Regions from separate parts of the Mus musculus genome. Here regions 1 and 3 are each reported to be linked to region 2. Evidence: microRNA targets listed by miRTarBase, many of them from high-throughput screens and not tested one by one. Region 2 holds a microRNA gene; each other region holds the end of a gene's coding sequence.
Evidence for each region. Region 2 holds the annotated microRNA mmu-miR-3108-5p (GUCUCUAAAGCUAGACGUUCCGG, at 1,239-1,261, shown strand). A microRNA usually pairs through its seed, bases 2 to 8, with sites in the 3' UTR of a target mRNA and lowers its output. Matches are read on the target gene's strand: a 7mer-m8 pairs with bases 2 to 8, a 7mer-A1 pairs with bases 2 to 7 and ends in A, and an 8mer does both.

Region 1 (4,061 bases), not on the chromosome of region 2:
TAAATTTCAAGCTCCCACACTCAAGCTCATGGGAGTCTGATGGGATCATGTATCCAAGTAGCACGTGAGAATTGTATCCATCTTCTGCTGTTAGGCAAAAGAATAAATACATGGGAAAACCACAAGGGAAGGAAGATGAGAGAAGGAATGACCCACATTAATGCCGTACGTGCCAAACAAGCTCTTACACATTCTGAGTAGGTGAATATTTGTAATTACTAATAATAGTGTCTTAAACATTGACGTCATTTGAACATCACTACCAGAAACCTATGGTACAAGTTCTGTTTAAGTAGAAAAGTAGTAAGGAATGGCTCTTTGGTCACATTCAGACTCCTACTATCAACAGGAAACTGAGTCTAGATACCCCATTCTCAGTTCCTCCATCATGTTCCAGAGACTCACGGAAAACAGACTGAGCCTAAGTACTTTTTATTCACGACAGCTAACATACTGGCGTTGTTTCTGAACAAGTATGAATATGCTGCTGCATAACCCTTCCAGAATTGTCTGTTTCATCTGAGATGATTCTTGCTCTTGGATACAGTAAAAAGTAATCACCTTCAGAAGAAACCATTTCAGTGAAAAGCCATACCCATTGCTGAGTATGCTGAGCATGGCGGCACATGCTTGACATTCTTCCAGTGCTCGCTCACAAGGCTGGCGCAGGGTCTCGAGTCAGAACCAGTATGGGCTATCTGCTAAGACTGTCTTAAAAGGGCAGGGCTGGTGGTGCAGAAGCTCTGCTTCCTATTTGATGGGCTTCCTTTTTTTAATGTCTCTAAAGACACAAATAAAAATCAATGGTTTTCATATTTTAATAAAAACAGCAGTTAAGAGTCATGAAGTTATGCTTCAATTTATTGTTGTCTCATAACATTGACTTTGTTAAGGGGAGAAAAACCCCTCAAAGTTATGAGAGTTTTTATTGAATCCCTAAACCTGCCAGTGGGCACAAACAATACTGCCTACCCCCTGCTCCCCAAAAAACCCCACCTAAAAATTGGTAAGGGAAAATGACTAAATAGCAAAATTGTAGGCACAGTCTTTCACTTTCTACCCAACCCAGACTGGCTATAGAGAGGGGCTTGGGGAACTCATACTACCATTTAAAAGACTAATTTTCTCCCTAAATAAAAATATACCTAAAAGGATACTAGTGCACCGCAGCAGAGTACATTTTGGGGGTCTCATACACACTACAATGAAAATTTACTTTTATTCTTAACTCCAAGAAAACCAATATGCAGATTTCCCCCTAGTTATTCCAATTTTAAAAACAACAACAACAAAAACCCATCTGCTTCTAAGACTTAGGAATTATCTTGAAATGTCCAAAGGAGGTAAGACCCACCCAAATCTGTCTACTGAAGGCAAGAGGCCAATAATGTGGCGTTTTATAGATATGCAGAAAAATAAAAATCCTGTCAGGCATAACATTTCTCTCCTCATCTCAATAAATAATGAGTAAAGTATAAATGTAAGAGTCATTTTATCTTAAAAAAAAAAGTCCAAAAAAAGCAAATGTACAAATGTGTATTTAAAATTAAAAGGAAAATGTATGCATCAACTGAGAAATGCCTCACCGTCATTCGGTGCCTCTACCTCCCAATCAGTCATCTTATTGCAACAGCTGCGCTCATGCGAAGAAATCTTTAAAACATACCCGATATATATACAGATATAGCCATGTATATATGTATATATATAATATATATATAAATTTTTATTTAAATAAAAAAGAAAGCTCGAATCCCAAGCCAATATGTGTATATCAAATCCTTGACCAGCCAGGTCTGTAGGGCATAATCAAATTCAATGTGAAATAGTATATAAACACGGTGCCTTGACTGGGCAAATTAAATAATCGCTACTCAAATGAGTGTTCTGTTTGGATTTCCTACTGGTAGGCAATGGCAGGACTATTTTTCCCTTCCCACCCCTCCCACTCTTATCCCACCCCCACCCACTTGTTTCAATTAACAAGATGATGGACACAGAGCTTAGACTGAGGTGACGCAGACCTCAGCAGAGTTAAGGGTTCAGGAAATAGAAATAAGAAAAATATAAACGTTTGCTTTTACCCAACCAAAGCAATGCAGTAACTTATTACATAACCAGTGCTTTCTTGTTTTGTAGCATCATCTAGAAAGGGAAACTGACGTCAGGCAATCAGAGGGATGGAGTGATTCTACGAAACATTGCCTTGCTGAACTCATTTTAGAGGGGCTTAGTAAATTAAGCAAACAGTGGTTAGCATTAGAATATGTGCAGCAGAACTAAATAAAAATTCTTCCTCACTCTTCAACTTTTTCATAAACATTTTTAATGTCAGAAAGCCAGGTCTATAAAAACTCACTTCAAGTTATTTATAGTTATTCTAGTAATTCTGATTACTGACAAGTGACCAAAGCATGAACTACCCTGAAGACTCAGTCAGTTTCTATCTGCCAAATCTTTAACGCTTTTGAAAGGAAAACAAAAATTCCATTGAAATAATATGTCCTTGTTTACTGAAGCTCCTATCGAGTGTTAAGTTTTATTTTAATTAAAAAATTTTCTTCATTGTGTCTGGTGTCCACAAGGGCCAGAAAAGGGTGTCATGTCCCTGAAAGTGGAACTGGGAGACACCCTGCAGGTGCTGCCAAGAACCCGGGAGAGCAGCCGGTGCTCTTCTGCTGAGCCGGCTCCCAGCTTTAGAGTATGGTTCACTGTCCTGGTTTTTCTATTCTAGGGTTTCAAGACAAGTTTAATTTGTAAACACAGCTCGAATTTTCCAACATGAGCTCCACATAGGAGAACAGGAAATGCCTATTTTCACTATTAACAAGCTGAAGTTCATTTCTTTTCTTCTTATTCTGTTTTTTCCTGCCTCAACATCTTGAGGCCAGGGATTACAGGAATGAGCCATTATATCCAATTCAGAGTTCATTCTTAAAATAAAATAATCTTCATTTAAATCTAACTAAACATTGTAAACACTAAATAGGCTTTCAGATTTTAAGGAGATAATGCAAGGAATGCTTGACACCAAAATGTGGCTCAAACAATCAACTGCATGTTGACATCTCTGAAAAGTTGAAACTAAAACCATATCCACTCAAATAAACTTTTAATGTTGTAAAAAACAAGTATCTATCCACAGAGCTAGTGATCCAGAAACAGGGCTGGGGTTAAAGAATAGCTCTAATAAAATTAGTTTGCTGCACAGTTTCTAATAACCCAATCTATTACCACAGAATTCTTGGAAACGGTGCATTTTTGTCTATTTTAGTTTACAGGGTTGTGAGAGTTGGAAAGGACTGGGGAAAAGGAATTATACACTGGGTATGTAATAATACCAAAATACAAGAAAAACCTACTTCATTAAGATCATACAATTAATCAAACAGAGTGTATATATAATATCTTCTTTTTTTTTAAAGCCCCGGATCCAAGGCGTCCAAAGTTATTAAAATAAAGTTCATTCACAGAACAAAAACAAATTTAATCTGAATTGCTTGCAGATACTGCTAATTTTTTTTTCTTAAAATTAAAAAAATGCATCAATGTGAACTATGTGCAGGTTTGTTTAGTAGTGGTGTTTGTGCACATTGCCTCCGGTGCTTTTCCTGGACTTCACTGACCACTCAGAGAAAAAGTTTAGAAGTTATCCATTTTTCTATCCCTATGCCCCATGAACTGATTAGGAGCAGAAGGTAGAAGCAGGTGCCCATATTCTAGGGAGCAGAATTGGAAACAACTCCTGATCTCTGGGAATCATTGTTATCTCCTCCTCCCTCAGAGTCTTCTGACAGATTCAAAGAGCTGGTCTTGTTTGATAGGAGGCTGAGATTCTCTTGTGTCAAGGCTGATCCATTTGGTACATCACTGTAAATTACATGAAAAAATAGTTGGAATTTATAGAAAGAGAAAAGCAATTACTCTAAATAAAATCCAATCAATAGGGCTTATTATTTAGCACTGTAGAAAAACATGAGGCTGGAGTAGAGCACATGCCTTTAGTTCAAGCAGAAGGCAGAAGCAGCTGGTCTTTATCAGTTTTAGGTTAGATTGGTTCC
Region 2 (4,068 bases):
ACGTTTTTTTTTTTTTTTTATCACTAGAACCAAAGAGGCGAATTTCAAGTGATAATTTTCACCATGAACCTTTGGCCAGCGGAGTCCTCAGGAACAGGTTGTTGCCATGGCATTTGCTTGGGTCCCAATCCCTAAGGTATTTCTGGAAGTGACCTCACTAAATAGCACTTTGTGAAGAAGTGATTTCCCACCTTTTAAAGACCCCAGAAAACAGAGCCAAGGCCATGAACCTTCCCTGGAGCAGTGTCCAGAGCCAGACATGCCTGTCGAAGGTACCAGGGAGCACCCCACACATTGGGAGGACGGTGATAAGCTTGTTCTTGAACCCCTAGCAGAGAGATTACGCAAGAAGCAGCCACTCCCTGAAGGTCCTGCACTTTGCTCCGCACAGAAACCCCACAGGCCTCATCTTTCCACAGATAGTAGAGATGTTGTCTAGCCGTCTCTGAGAAGTGTACAAGCTGTAAAAGTGCTGGTTCCAGGAAACCAGCTTGCTAGTATCAGCGAGCTACTAGATTGCAAATCGGGGAGTTGAAAGTAGGGATGACGCGTGAGTGGTGTGTTTTAAGCGCTCCTCTGAACTTCACAGATGGTGTGAGGGGCTTTCATGCACCACATAGCTCTCTACCTGGGAAACTGGCGTGGTGACTGTCCCACAGAACTGGTCCTTCTAGTCACGAGGCCAGTTTTGCAAGTGATGTATTTCCTTCTCCATTCAAAACAGCTTTGTGCAGCCACTCTCTAGGGTAAACCCCCAGATCCTCTTTGATGCCTAGACGCCTAATCTTGGTCAGATGCCAGGGCTGTTCTTTGGAAAAGTTTGGTGTTAAAATGGAATTCACAATTGTTGTACAACTAAGTGATGTTAATGAGCCTGTGGCTGAAACCGTGTCCCCGAAGGGCATTTTACAGTAATTTTATTAGAAAATTGGCCCCGGGAAAGTGTTGGTTAGGCTTTCTGACAGTTTATCTGTTTGTGCTTAGCCAAGTGCAGCGGAGAGCTCTAAAAGCAATCTGATGAAGATAACTCCTAACCAAAGCCTTTCTTCCTCTGCTTCGTCATGAGGAGTAGCCAGTGGCCATTCAACCTCTGAGAGGCTCAAGTCCTGTCTCCTGGGATCCTGAATGGCAAGGCAAATGGCAGAGTGGCCCAGGCAGGTGGCTTTGGCTGAGGGACAGAAAACGCTGCCAAAGGTTCCCAGATCCGTGATCCCGGCTGGACGTGAGACACAACCAGGGTCTCTAAAGCTAGACGTTCCGGAGAATTTTTTTATTTCGGCGTCTAGGTCTAGAGTCTCAAGGAAGTGGCCAGTATTGGATTTCAGTCCATCTGAAAGTAAATTCCGCCTTGATAAATGGAAATAGATTACTTTTTACGCAGTGTCTTTCCTTTCCGTTGTAAATGGAGAGCTTTTTTTTTTTTTTTTTTTTTTTTTTTTTTTTTTTTGAGGAGGCTTCATTTAATAATACCTTATCAGACAGCTTTCAGGAACCTGCAGGGTCTAATACGTCTGTTGCTATGGTAACGGCTGCTTATGCTCTGCATCTCATATCTATGTCTTCCATGGGTCCCCTTCTTTTTACCGATGAGGGGGCTTGAAAAAAATGCTCTTCATTGGCAGGATTTGCAGCGCTGGCCATCGACCGTGGAAGCAGCACCCTCCACACTTGCTGGAAACAACTCAGACCACATTTCTTTCTACACGTGTCACATAAAAGAGGAAGTCTCTAAAGCTTTGGGGCAGTGAGACAGGCTCACCTCCACACTCGGCTGGCCAGTCCCCCCTCCACCATGTTGATCTCAAATACCTAAGTCTTATTTCCAGACAAGCCAAGGCTTTAGATTGGGGGAAATGTTGGTGCTTCCACTCTGTCCCTGGATTTGGGGGGAAGGATGAGGGCCCAGGGACACGTGTTTCTCCTCGGCTCCTCAGTAAGAATGGGAAAGACCACCCACCATGCGTTTCAATACTCTTAAATTATTCTAATTGATCAGTGTCTTCTAAGTGACAGGACATACCACCGGGATCCTAGATCATTAATTTGGGGACATTTTCTTTGTTCTTTAATCACTTAACAAAATGGGACCTCACAGCTGAAATGAGGCTGAGCCAAGAGCACCTTTTTCTGTAGCCTTTCCTCTTCCTCCTCTTTTCTGGCCCACAATTACTCCTTTTTATTATTTCATAGGCACCCAGATGCCCTCCTGTGCTCCTGTGCCCCTCTCCCCCACTTTCTGCCTTGCCTGTGGTTTTCTCTCAGCCTCTCTTTGGGGGGACAATAGTATAGTCTCCTGTGTTCTTTAAACACCAGTCTATGACTCTCTCTCTCTCTCTCTCTCTCCCCCTCCCTCCCTCCCTCCCTCTCTCTCTCTTCCCCCACTCTCTCTCCCTCTCCCCTTCTTCCCCTCTCCCTCTCTCCCTCTTCCCCTCTCCCTCTCTCTCTGCTCTATGTATGTGTGGACCTCAGGGGCAGGCTTCCTCCTCCCCCTCCCCCACAAGGGGGCTCTTGTGCTCCCCCTGGCCCCCGAGGCTGTCACACCCACCTGCATATCAGCTCTTTCACTTTGTGTCCATCTCAGAGGAAGGTAATGAAAATAATCGGGCTTCATTAATTCCAAGCCCTGCGAGATGATAGCCATTTGGAGCCTGTTTGCCAATTAGATGGTCTAAATTAGAAGTGACCTTGGTATACTGCCGCCGCCTGCCTCTCGGGTCTAATGAAGCTTTGCTCTCCCATCCATTTCCCCCTCAGCTCTCTCGTCTGTGTACACACACACACACACACACACACACACGCATAGCTGCTCCTGTTTCTTATGTCCCTCCCCACCCCCTGCTCCATCCGTTCAAATCATTCTCAGTTTTCAAACTCCGGTTCTGGTTTGTGTGTGTGTTATTTTGATCTACATAAATTGTTAGTGTGGCCCTCAGTTTTGTCTGTCTGTGTGTGTCTATGTCTCACGCCATTTTAGAAAGGAGATCTGTGGGGAGGGAGGTTTTGTCAGTGAATTCCAAGTTCCAGGCGGGGAGGAAGACAGCATCCCGGTGTTCTGTTCCACAGTAAGCCAACTGTCCCGTATTCTGTTGTACAGTAGGCCAACTACATACAGTCAACCCCAGTATATATTTTGGACATAAGAGAAGCCTTTTAATGTCTCATGAAGAGATAAATGCTGGAGGAGACACATATGCTGGGGTCCTCCTGTGATGAGCACACAGAGTATATGTGTGTGAAACTTCACCCTGAGCCCCATAAATCTATACAGTTATACGCAACAATTAAAATTTCCTGAAAGCAGTACAGCTGGTACACATCGTTATAATCCCAGCACTCAGGCAGGGGGATTATGAGTTGGAGGTTTGCCTTGGGGGATATGAGACTTTAGGTCTTAAAAAGTAAAAAATTTAAAAGTATACTATTTTTTTTCTAAGATGAGACATGACAGAGACAAAGTCTCGTAGAGACTGTGCTGCCATGCCTCACCGGCAGGCAGGCAGGCAGGCAGGCAGGCGGGCGGGCAGGCAGGCGGGCGGGCGGGCGGGCGGGCAGGCGGGCAGGCGGGCAGGAGGGCAGGCGGGCAGGCGGGCAGGCGGGCAGGCGGGCAGGCAGGCAGGAAGGCAGGCGGGCAGGCGGGCAGGAAGGCAGGAAGGCGGGCGGGCGGGCGGGCAGGCAGGCAGGCAGGCAGGCGGGCGGGCGGGCGGGCGGGCGGGCGGGCGGGCGGGCGGGCAGGCGGGCAGGCGGGCAGGCGGGCGGGCGGGCGGGCGGGCGGGCAGGCGGGCAGGCGGGCGGGCGGGCAGGCAGGCAGGCGGGCGGGCGGGCGGGCGGGCGGGCGGGCAGGCAGGCAGGCGGGCAGGCAGGCAGGCGGGCGGGCGGGCGGGCGGGCAGGCAGGCAGGCAGGAAGGCAGGAAGGCAGGAAAAAGGGCTCAAGCTCTACAGCGAGTGGTGCCCATGGGGATCGGACGGGATAGGGAGAGCCGGGCCCTGAAGCCTCCTCATGAGGGAGCACTCCACTCACCAGGAGCTCGAGGTCAGCTTTGACAGCAGTTAAGCTTTAGGTTCATGCCT
Region 3 (4,061 bases), not on the chromosome of region 2:
CAGAATCCATGCAGTCTTTCCACAAGGACTCTACTGTCCACCTCTGGATTAGCCTTCAGACTGCTGACCTTACTACAGAAAGGCAGTTTACCTCTATGCAAAGAGGGTATCTTTGACCAGGCTCCTCCCATCTCAGATGTTTCCTGAAGCTATAACTTGAGTTTAGAAAAATCAGTAAACAAATCAAATTTAACTTGTATCACTTTGTACTAGAACTAAAAAAAAACAAGAAAGAATTCTTTTATCTTTAATTTTTTGTTTTTTATTATTTTTAATTGTGTATATGGCAGTGGTTGCTTGTATGAGTGCAGGTGCCCATGAACTCTAAAGACTGTGGGATCCCCAAAGCTAGAGTTATAGGCGGCTGTGAACTGCCTCACTTGGGATCCCCTGAAGCTGGAGTTATGGGCGGCCTGACATGGGTCTGGGAAAGACTGTCCTGAAAGAGCAGCACACTCTGAACTGCTCAGCCATCTCTCCAGCCCTATAAGTTTAATTTTTTTTGTAGTAATTCAGCTTTATTATAATCCCATCTTTTTCATTTCAGGGATATTATGGTTTAGATAATGAAGTATTTTTAAGTTTGCCATGCATCCTGGGAACCGGTGGGGTATCCGAAGTCATCAAAACCAAAGCAGGAGAAGACACAGTGACTGGGACACTCCAGGCCAGTGCATCCTCCATCCATGCTCTCCAGCAGCAGCTGGAACTGTGATTCCCCAGCGCAGTCACCCGGAGATGGGAGCTTATTTAATTTTGCCAACACACATCGTTTTGAGAATTTCCACAATTTACTCTTTATTCTTAAAAACAGCCTTTCTAGTAGATGGCTTCTTAATTAGCTTTATAATTTGAATCCTTGAGAATGGAAAAGGATTAATTTCTTGTAGGTTTTTGACATACCTGTACTGTTGTTTAAACCTGCAAAAGGGATAAATATTCATTTGCATTGTATTTCATTTTAAATTACATGTTGTAAACTTAAGGCACATCTGGCACTTTAGAGATGTTCTGTAAAGATTCCTGTTGGACATTTCTTCTGAGTATGGTGAGCTGAAGGCAGGATGGGCTCAAAATCTGTGCTAGGTGTCCATTCAGAGAATCTTGGCTTCATGGATTAATACTGCTTTTGCAAGAAGCAGGTCATAGTAATGGAGAAGTGTTTTATTTTCCTTCTTCAAATTCACTAGCTATCAAACACTAGAAAGTATTTTAGTATGCATTTTAAATTGGTTAAATGGAATTTTTAAATATATGAAAAGTAATGTGGTTTAATTTCCACTGAGATTTCTTTTCTGAAAATTTCTATAACCTCTTCCTGGGCTAAAAGATCTCCAGTCTGTCTTAAAACTATATTAGTAGAAAAAGAGATGTGTCTTCCTGTGGCCGTAGGTAATGAATAACAGCCACACAGTGTATTTTGAGACCAAAATATGAGGCTTTCCTAAAAACCATTGGTCTTACAGGAGAGAGGCCGGCCGGCCTGCTGCTTCTCCCCAGAAGAAACCCTTCTGACTGTGCCTTGGTGATTGGTCAGTAGCAGTATTTCCATGTGGGAGACAGCATGGTTGGTGACTGTTGTGACGTGCAGATGGCAGCAACAGCTAACACAGCTCTTGTGTAGCGAGCACTTTGTTTGTACAATGCCCACACTAACTGGCTGAGGTAGGGACTATTTACCTTCATTACGGAGGTGAAAATGAACGTTCGTGTCTAAGATCAAGTGGGCTCTAAGGAGTCTCACTTGCCTGTATAATCTTTTTTTTAATAGGTAGCAACAGGGGTTGTGGGGAGGCTTCTGTGCCTAAACGCCAAGTCATCGCAAGACACTAAAGTTGAGGGTTGGGATACTATGAAAGAATTGCTTCTATTCTCATATGATGGGAGCTTCTTTCTTTTTTTCTTTTTTGAGACAGGGTCTATTTGTAGTCTTGACCATCTCGGAGCTTGCTATTGTAGACAGGCTGGCCTTGAACTCATAGAGAACTGCCTGCTTCTGTCTCTCAATGGGATTAAAAGTGTAGGCCATCATATCTGCCTTTTTTTTTTTTTAACAAAGATTGCTGAGCCTCTTCCCCAGAGATTCCACGAACAGCAGACAGTGTTTATGTATTTAATCCTTCAGCTAGTATTTATTAGAAACTTCTCTAACAAAGCACTATTAGTAAACAGGCCCAGATTAGGACAGGCCCTGCCAATGCCTACAGACTAGCAGGGAATACAGTAGCCAAATGTCATGTAAGTTCAAGAGTGCTAAGTGCTGTGAAGTCCAGTGACAAGGAACCCAGTCTAGTCAGAGAGAGAGGAACTCCGTGGTTTATGAGACAGAAAGGGAACAGTCTCATTCTCAGGGTGACTCGTGTAATTATAATGACAAGTGACCTTCAGTATCCCAAACTGGAGAAAGTAGAAAAGTAATGTGGTGACAAAGACTCCCACCACGTTTAACTGGATGAAACCCTGGACATCCAGGCTAGGGGTATAGCTCACTGTTAAGATGCTTGCCTGGCGTGCAGAGCCCTGGGTGTGGTTCCAGAACACAGAACTGGGGTCCTTGAGACGATAAGCATGAGCTCTTTGTAGATAATCTTGGTGTTGCTTTTACTGGCCTTTTGTATGAAGTGGGAAAGTAAAGTTGAAACAGTCATTTCTTAGGTGTTTTTCTAGTATTTTCTAATAGGTGATAACTAATTAGGAACTCAGTAATTCCTGATTAGAGCTTCTTTGTCTTCATTTGGTTTTGAGACTAACCTCAAAGTCAACTCTTAGCAATCATCTGCCTAATCTCCTGGGCATTGGCGGCCATGCCCAGCAACAAGTCTTACATTGTTTGTGGGGATCTAATCCAGGGTCTGATGCATGTTAGGCAGGTTCCTCCCCAACCCTGTGTCTATAATCTAATCCTAAAACTCTCTTGAACAATAAACCAACTGCAGAGTGCTGTAACAATGAACTACCGAGAACTATGTTATAGAAAGAAACGTCAGATATTTATTAAATACTCATCATTAGCCAAGGATTTTGTTAGTTTGACCTCATCCCCGGGTTGCAGTACAGAAGCCTCACACTTCTTTGAGTTAAGTAGCAATTGTACGTTCCTCCTCAGTCAGGTGGTGCCATCACAGCCACCTAACTTTGATTTAATTATTAACAGTTACTCTATGTGGTGACTTTCATTTTTTTTCTAATCATTTATTGGTTTGGATGATGTTGACTTGATTAACCTAAATACTGTATTAGTCTCCAAACCAATTGGAAATGTACAGTGTTTGCATATTTCTCATGTGAAGCACAAGGACAGGATCAGAACTCCTGTTCATTCACTAAGGTGATGACCTACCATATGAGAAGGTTCAACTCTATATCAAGTTATAAATCCTGACTTTTTTGTCTTGTTATATTCTGAAATGCAGGCTTTGTGAAAACTGAAAACTTTGTAAAAGATTTATTTCTTCATTTAAAAAAGTACTGTCAATAAAACATTGCTTTTCCTCCTTGCTATGTGAAAGGAAACTTTCATTTTTCCCAAAGCACGCGGAATCTCAAGATTTTTTTTTTAATTTTTTTTATTAGGTATTTTCCTCGTTTACATTTTCAATGCTATCCCAAAGGTCCCCCATATCCACCCCCCCAATCCCCTACCCACCCATTCCCCCTTTTTGGCCCTGCCGTTCCCCTGTACTGGGGCATCTAAGATTTTTATTGGGTCTTGGATTAAAATGCTTTTTGATACTATAAAATATATTTTTTATTTTCCAATTTACATTGTTTCCTTAAATATCAAAAATAATGAATGAAATAAACTTTTATTTTAAAAGGACTATCTGCTGTCTGATTAAGTGAAAGAAGATACATTCAAATTAAAGAAGGATTTCATAGCATTCTCCGAACAACCATATCTTATTCATTTAAGTGACTTAAATATAAGATGAAGAAAGTGGCCTTTATCAGTTATTTCTTTAAAAAAAATTGTTTTGGTTTGTTTTTTTGACACAGGGTTTCTCTGTGTAGCCCTGGCTGTCCTGGAACTCACTCTGTAGACCAGGCTGGCCTCAAACTCA

Region 1: miRTarBase lists Rc3h1 as a target of mmu-miR-3108-5p. Seed matches in the 3' UTR shown: 7mer-m8 at 779-785.
Region 3: the mRNA of Uevld is a reported target of mmu-miR-3108-5p. Seed matches in the 3' UTR shown: 7mer-m8 at 1,001-1,007 and 7mer-A1 at 1,980-1,986.

Annotation. Positions count from the first base shown.
Region 1 is chr1:160,967,456-160,971,516 of GRCm38, reverse strand. It overlaps Rc3h1 (RING CCCH (C3H) domains 1), which reads right to left. Exons shown (of 20, transcript NM_001024952.2): 20 at 1-3,870. The coding sequence ends at 3,720. Among named protein-coding and RNA genes, the nearest start is that of Serpinc1, 9.1 kb to the left of the region's middle.
Region 2 is chr8:108,935,632-108,939,699 of GRCm38, forward strand. Mir3108 (microRNA 3108) reads left to right here and starts at 1,229; the gene lies at 1,229-1,307. The region is part of intron 7 of Zfhx3 (zinc finger homeobox 3); the gene reads left to right.
Region 3 is chr7:46,922,975-46,927,035 of GRCm38, reverse strand. Uevld (UEV and lactate/malate dehyrogenase domains) reads left to right here. Exons shown (of 12, transcript NM_001040695.1): 12 at 548-3,820. The coding sequence ends at 715. It also overlaps a transcript of Tsg101 not described here. Among named protein-coding and RNA genes, the nearest start is that of Tsg101, 5.0 kb to the right of the region's middle.